Lonchura striata: one gene and its partner. The protein of the gene in region 2 purifies or fractionates together with the protein of the main gene of each other region. This does not show direct contact. Links are inferred from orthologs where the notes say so. Each region holds a gene or a part of one and is shown on either strand. Other genes may lie near its edges. The genes, in order: CDK19 and MED16.

What was found.
Region 1: the proteins of MED16 (region 2) and CDK19 purify together in Homo sapiens (affinity purification with mass spectrometry; 6 studies listed by BioGRID and IntAct, counting the BioPlex papers as one, with this or other methods). This does not show direct contact. The link is inferred for Lonchura striata from reciprocal best matches to the Homo sapiens genes MED16 and CDK19.

The regions. Positions count from the first base shown.
Region 1 is NC_134605.1:68,779,227-68,783,133, reverse strand, and holds the start of CDK19 (cyclin-dependent kinase 19), read right to left. Parts: upstream 2,542-3,907; 5' UTR 2,439-2,541; coding exon 2,311-2,438; intron 1-2,310.
Region 2 is NC_134630.1:4,456,123-4,460,029, forward strand, and holds the start of MED16 (mediator of RNA polymerase II transcription subunit 16), read right to left. Parts: upstream 3,090-3,907; 5' UTR 3,070-3,089; intron 3,042-3,069; exon of another isoform or gene 2,933-3,041; intron 2,785-2,932; 5' UTR 2,697-2,784; coding exon 2,561-2,696; intron 2,218-2,560; coding exon 2,110-2,217; intron 1,851-2,109; coding exon 1,681-1,850; intron 1,177-1,680; coding exon 745-1,176; intron 1-744. UniProt on the Homo sapiens protein: Component of the Mediator complex, a coactivator involved in the regulated transcription of nearly all RNA polymerase II-dependent genes.

The DNA of each region.
Region 1 (3,907 bases), on a different chromosome or scaffold from region 2:
CCCAATGATCTAAATTTACACAAGAGCAACTAAGAGTGAACTCACCAATGCCATAAAATTAATATAAAGAAAAAAGAGAAAAAATAAGTCACTTTCAAACTTCATGAAGTAAAGCCTCTGAGTATATAGTACAGTTGAATTTGTGCCATGTTATATTATATGTCAATCTATCTGACAGCACTGAAACTTTGCACTTCCTTTTACCAGTTAGTTGTCTTACAGCTCAAGGTCTCCCTTTGATTATTCCCAGCTCTGACACATTAGCTATCTTTTTATCATATTTACTTTTGCTTTACTACCCATTTGCATTTGTCATATCATTAGGGATTTTGAAGACATGTTCTTTATGGTGCTTTGTAGCAGCAATATAATTCCTGTGATGGCTTTCCTTTCAGATGATGGAAAGGAAAAATGTCTGACTTTAACTTACTCCGAATTTCTTTCTTTCTTGAAACAGTAAATCCAAGTGCTGCCGTTTTTTATGCTGTTCATACAAGCAGCAATTTTAGGCTTACTATATCAAAGAACAGCAACAGACATCTAACTAGCATTTTTGGTGGTTTTGTTACTGCTTCCTTTCCTTATTACCACTTTCCTCCTATCCCATGTATGTTTTACATATATATATATAAATTAATAATTAGGAAAAAGAAGCAACCAGGATCACTTAACTCAAAAATATTGGAAGAGCTCAGTGGCACTGTAATACCTGGAAAAGCTTTGATATTTCAAGTTAGTTACGCTCTAGTATTCCTAAGGTTGCAGAGCAAGCTAGTCAGAATCAGAGCTCATTTCTGGGTAGTTAATCCTTCACTGGAATTAGTGTCTACCTTTCAGTTATTAATCACTTTTATACTACAACCTCCTAATTCAGAGTTTAAATTTTCACGACACACAAGAATGCCATTTAATCCTACAGAAGAATCCCTAGACTTCTCTACTAATCTAAAGCAGCAGCATTCCATTAACCACTTCCAAAATTTTAAATAAAAGTTGTCATTTTTCCACGTTCAGTCTCTTCTTTTTCAAAGTTTCCATTGGCTATAATGGAAGGCTATTCCCTTTAACATTCTGACAGAAAGGAATCACCTGTAATTCACAGGTATATTTTATCCAACCTTACAGTATGCTTAGAACACTCTGAAAACACAGCCTGGGTTTGTGCACCAGGCACACATCACAGTGAAAAAGTGCTCAATGGCTCTTCTGAAAGCAAATTATTCCATTTGGAACCCACACCTGCACAAAGCCTTGCTCAGGCCTCAGGACTGCTCCCCTTTAACAACTGTATGCCAGTCAAACAATCTCAAATTGCAACCCTACCTCCCCACTGCTCTCTTAACCACAATACTGTGAAAACAGCATCCATGGAATACTTATCCCATGATACTGGCTTTCCCCAAAGAAGAGAATAAACCTTGCTTAGCCAACATACATGGGCTTAACGCCTAAAGGACTCTCTGTATAAAGCCACCAGCCAAGTGTTTAGGGACAGGGACTTGTATCCTGCTCTTTCATGGGAAACTGATGGAGACACACCTGTGCATTGGTACTGGACAGAAGCCACCAGCTCTGCCTACAAGGAGCATCCCGGACAGGCCATCAAGCCAAGCTTGCCCGGCACTGGCACCAGCAGGGTGCCTGGGGCTGGGGACACACCAGGGACCAACACACAGGGAGGGAGCAGCCGGGGAGGGGCCGTCGGGAGCCAGGTGCTCCTCCCTTCTCAATCCCCTGCCAGTAATCGGAACAGACCGTCAAATTACGAACGCGGTCACACAAAAGACGAAAGCGACGACCTGAAACACGGCGTGCAAAGCAAAGGCGACCCCAGGGCACAGCCTGCTGACACCGCACCACCAGGGATGGCGGGGGGAAAACGGGGCAGAGCGGGACGAGCTTTAGGTTGAACATTAGGTAGGACTGCTTACATAGAGGGTGATTAGACATTGGAATGAGCCGCCCAGAGAGGTGGTGGAATCTCCGTCTCTGGAGGTGTTTAAGGAAAAACTGGATGTGGCACTCGGTGCCACGGTATAGCTGAACATGGTGATGTACGGTCACAGGGTGGGCTCGATGATCTCAGAGGTTTCTTCCAGATAACCGATTCCGTCGCTCTGAGCAGCCGGGCAGCGGCGCCGGGGCCGGGGCAGGGGGCCCGCTCCCGGCGCGGGGCGGGCGCTACCCGGGCGGGCTCCGCGCTCCGGCCCCCGCGCTGCCAGAAACTTTCCGAGGAGGGAGGGAGGGAGGGGAGGGCGCTGGTGCGGGGGGATGGGGGGGTTGGAAGGGGGTTCTCGGCGCGGCCCTTACCCGTCCTTGCGGCGGGCCTTGTAGACGTGCCCGTAGGTGCCTCTGCCCACCTTGCATCCCTCGTACTCGAACAGGTCCTCCACCCGCTCGCGCTCGGCCGCCAGCTTCGACTTGAACTCGTAGTCCATGTCTCGCCCATGGGCGGGGAGGGACGGGCGGGCAGGGGGACGCGGCGGCCGGATCAGCAGCCGCAGCTGGCGGAGCCCCCTCCCGGCGCCGCCATGTCCGGGGCTCGGCGGGGGCGGCGGGCGAGGGGGACGGGGGGCCGGTTTGTTTTTGTTTTGGTTTGGGGCTTTTCGGCGGGGGGGAGGGGGCGCGCTCCGCCGCCGCCACCCGCTTCAACTGGGCTCCTCGCGGCGCGGCGCGCGAGGTGCCGGGAGTCGTAGTGCGGCTGCGGGAGCCGGCCCCGCCGCCGCAGGCAGGACGCCGTAGCGGCAGAACTACAACTCCCGGCATGCCTCGGGCCACCCCGGCCGGGCGGCGTCGGCGCACTGCCCTCTCCGGAGACACCGGAGCGTTTCAGCGGCCGCTGGGAACTTGCTGACTCTTCACATTGCGCGCACAGGCGGGAGCGGCGAGCACAGCCGGACGCGGCGCCTCTGGCTGGCAGGGAGAGATGGAGGGAGGAACAGAGGAGCAGACAGTGCACACGCACCCATGCTGCGGGGCGCCGAACAGTGCGGCGACTTGTTTATCTCGCCAGCTGCCATTCACGGTCCGGCCCCGCCTCCCTGCGGGATGCTGCCCTGTGATTGGTCAGTGCTGCCCCGCCGTGCGGCGGGCGGGGCCGGGCCCGGCCGGCTCCAGGGCTTGGCGCTGCGGGTCCATGTTGGAAACGGGAATCCTGCTAGGATTCGCGTCGTTAGGTGCTGCTAAATAAACCGGTCGCTTACAGAAATACGGGGGTACATACTGTGTTTGCGCTCGGATAGAAGCCAGGCGTATTGCTGCGTCTTTATGATCCGATGCCGTAGCAAGGCTGTGCCCCTTCAGCCCCGAGCAGAGAGATTTTTAGATAAACGCGGCGCTGCTTTGGGGTTCAGATTTCGTCAAAGCACTTTGAGATCACAGAAACATTCAGGCCTTTTAATGTTATGTCTTGGTCTCTCGAAGATCTTTTTTTGTGAAAAGCACCAGTCTGCAATCTTACTTGCATTATGGAAGTGCCAGGCAGAGGCAACTGTACGAAGAGTCACACAGAATCACAGAGTCAGTCAGGCTGGAAAAGACCTCTGAGAGCGAATCCAGTCCATGACCAAACACCACCATATCAACTACAGGCCGTGGCGCTAAGTGCCATGTCCGTTCTTTCCCTAAATATCTCCAGAGATGGTGACTCCACCACCTCTCCAGGCATTCCATTCCAAAATCTAATGACCCTGTCTGTAAAGAAATTCTTCCTCATGTCCAGCATAAGCCCCCAGTGGAGCAGCTTGAGATGATCTCCTCTCATCCCGTCACCTGTTGTCTGGGAGAAGAGGCTGACCCGCACCTACAGCTTCCTTTCAGGGAGCTGTAGGGAGTGTAAGGTCAGCCTTGACCTGACCTGCAGGTTACATCCCACTCTAGAAGCAAAGCACTTGAGCGTCCACCTTGT
Region 2 (3,907 bases):
GTGGGATGAGTAGGCTCCTGTGCACGGTTGGGGGTGTAGGGAGGCAGAGATCTCTGAAGCTTGCTCTTGGGGGAAGAGGTTTATTGGAGAATTCAGGGATGCCCAAGCCTCGTGCTCTCAGGCGTAGCACGTGGCTGGGCTTAGGAGGACGGGGGAGGGGAGAGAGAAACGGAGGGTTTAGGAGAGGGGAAGCCCCAGGGAGAGAGGAAGTCCAAGAGGGGAGGAGAGGGCCAAGAGGCCGCATGGCCGCTCAGAGCCCCCTTATTAGGGGCTCCCAGGTGGGCTGGGACAAGGTATGGGCCAATGGGGTTACAGACTCTGTTTTAGGGGCAGGTACAGAGGTGCGGGATGAACCACAATTTTTTGCAGGGTGGGATGGAACAGTCCATTTCACTCCAGGATTCATCCAAGGGTAGAAGTGACATCCGGCTAGCTAAAATAACAATCATATCTATCTATCCTCTGCAACAGGCTGGAACAAGACTTGGGCCAATGGGGTTACAGACACCTGATGTTTTAGGGGAGGGTTACAGGTGTGGGGTGAACCGTACATTTTGGGGGGTGAGATGGAACAGTCCACTTGACCCCTGGACCCATCTGTAGGCAGGGACATTGTCCGGCTAGCAGGGAGGACCGTTCTCATCTTGGCTGTATTATTTATGAATAATTACATTTATCTATCCAACAGCTGGCCACCCCAGACCCTGTGAGGAAGACCAGGTGGAGCAGAGAGCAGCTTCCCACCTGCTCTGACATGTCCCGAGCCAGGAACTTCAGGTGGGTGATGGCCGGGTACTTGTCCTTGCGCGCGGGGTCGGTGGTGCAGCGCATGAAGAGGGAGGGCAGGATCTCGGTGTCGATCTTGCACTTCTCGTTCACCACGCTGACACACACCTTGTAGAACTGCACGGGGGACGTGCTGCTGCCGTCGGACGTGGCCACCACGATGTTGCCCCCGCCCGTGAAGGCGACGTCGGCCAAGGCCACGCGGCAGCGCAGGCGGCACAGGCTCTCGGTGGCCGTCAGCACCTGCCCGTTGGGCTTGAGGAGGGACACGGTGACCAGCCCGCTGATGGTCACAGCAATCCAGCCCTCCATGGGCTTCCCCCCAAACAGCGTCAGCGACGGGGAGAATTTCACCCGCGAGAACTTCTCGCCGAAGTTCGAGGCTCCGGACTGTAACAAAGGTCAGCAAAACCAAAGTGTTTGCGGCCAAAATTTGTGCCTGCGGGGCTCTTCTCGAGGGACAGGGGCAGGATTTATGTGGGACATCCCCAACACAAGCAGGGAACTTGTGCTCGGCAGCTTTGGGCTTTCAGAGTCTGCAGGATCACACATGAGGAGCTGAGGTCTGTGCACAAATGCCCAGATCAAACCTCAGCACTCCATATGCATTTTCTCTGAATCACCACAGGTGAGGAAAGAACTGCTCTATCTCCGTGTTCCTGCCTAGAAATGAGGTACCAAACTAGGAGAGACACACCTGAAACACCAAAAGAAACAAGGCTCCAACCCCCCTCAGAACTCAGCAGGAACCAGGAATCTGACTTCTCTCTGACTGCAAAAATTCCCCAAGGCCACAAGAGAGCCCAGAGCACGGAACACAGGCAGGATCCTGAGTTCTCTGCCAAGACCTGAGCCAGAGCTCCAGCCCAGATCCCCCACGGAGCTGAGACAAACCTTCTCCACGTGCAGAGCCAGCTTGACGCCGTTGTGCAGCCAGGACAGGGCCACCACCGGGTCCCCCTCCACCACGCTGCCCACCGTGTTCTCCCAGCTGTTGGCCAGGTGATCTGTCATGCCCCAGCACTTGATGTGGCCATCAGCATCTGCTGAGAGCAGCCTGGAGCCTGTGACAGTGACACTGCATGAGAATGGGGGAGAATGGACAAAACCCCACAAGGAATTACAGCCTGTGACAGTGACACTGCATGAGAATGGGGGAACAGAGAAAACCCCACAAGGAATTGCAGCCTGGAGCCTGTGACAGTGACACTGCATGAGAATGGGGGAAACAGCCAAAACCCCACAAGGAATCACAGCCCACCCCTTGGGGACATACACAGCAGGGGTGGGACACGGTGCCAATGTGGAGGGAGCCCAGCCCACCTGACTGATCCCACTCCAAACAGGTGATGACTTCGGTGTGGCCCGAGTTCACAGAGTAGACATCCCAGGGGTGCTCGGTGTCGATGATATGGACCATGTGGGTGAGATCTGTGTGAACAGAGAAGTGACTCCCTGTGCCTTGGCACTGCTCCTGAGCCTCAGCTGGTGCAGGGAAAATATAAAATATTTTATAGAAATCATTTGGGGCAGGGTAGCAACTCTGCTGGGAGCTCAGTGAGGAGCCAGCATGGTGTAGATTTGGGAAGTCGGTGCTGGTTTAGAGGAAACAAACGCGTGTGAGACGCTGCCAGAGGCTGAGGGATAGAAGGAAAAGGAGGAGCAGCAGCCCGGAACTGCCCGGGGCAGGGCAGAGCTGCGGCCCGGCGGATCCTGGCCTCTCCCGGGAGCACCGGGAGCTGCCAGCAGGGATTTCCCGAGGGGCTCCCGGTACCTTTCTCCTCTTCATTGCGGAGGTCCGTGGTGAAGGCGATGAGGTTGCGGCAGGACCAGGCGCACACCAGCGGGATGGAGGGGCAGTGGTTGCTTTTGGGCTTCTTCTCCCACTCGCACACGTAGGCCAGATCCATCCCACCGGGACACGGTACACCGGACACGGTACACCGGACACGGTACACTGGACACGGGATACTGGACACGGGACAGCCTCGGTCCTGCCTGGGGGCGACACAAGGCCGGTCACACACAGGGAATCCCAACCTCAGGGGCCATGGGGGGGGGCACAGCCCTGGGGACACGGGTGGGAACAGCCCCGCACCGGGACAAACCGCGGCGGTCCCGGGGGGAGCGGCCCGCGGGTACCGACCGTACGGCGGGCAGGAGGATCGTCCCCCCTCGCCGGGGACGGTCCCGGAGGTTCCGGGGGGTCGCGGGGAGGCCGCGGGAGGCTCCCGGCCCGTTCCCGGCCCGTTCCCGGTCCGTTCCCGGTCCCGCCGCCCTCACCGGCGCCCGCCGCTCTGCAGGACCCCGGCCCGCCCGCGGGCTGCCCGGCCCGCGCCTGCGCCGCGCGCTCAGGCACTGCCACAGACACCCCCGCAGAGAGAGCCATCCAGCAGGGTATAATTACCATAACAAACTACCCACAATGCATCGGGCAGAGATAGCAAACATAACCGGCGAATTTCGGACAATTTGGGGAAAATCCAAGAAAATAACAGAGAAAAAAACTGAGAAACACTTGGGAAGCTCATTCCGCGTCTAATATTGGGCCGCACCTCATTCACCCTATCATGACAATATTATTTCTGTGAGTCTTTAAATAGCGCTGCGGGTGCAGGGCAGTTCGTGCTCGCTTCGGCAGCACATATACTAAAATTGGAACGATACAGAGAAGATTAGCATGGCCCCTGCGCAAGGATGACACGCAAATTCGTGAAGCGTTCCATATTTTTCGCACCTCCCCGCACCCACATTTTCCATCCCGTGCCCCACCAGCTGCTCCGCCACCCCCCAAAAACCTCCCTCCTCCCCCTCCCCACATGGAGACACAGAGCCGGAGTAGGGGAGCACCGTTTTTATTGTTTCTGAACGCCACACCAGCCAAGGAGGAGCGAGGGGCGCCCCTGGCTCTGGGGGTGCCCACGAGGGGTTCCCCAGGCTCTGGGGGTGCCCACGGTTAATGGCAGTCGGTGTCATCATGCTGGGGCAAAGCAGCCAGCAAAGATCCCCAGGGCACGCCCTGCCCCGAGCAAACCTTGGCACATGCCACGAAGCCGGGGGGCACACAGAGAGACCCCCAGAATGCCCCCATCTGCCCCCATGGCAGCTGTGGAAAAGCAGA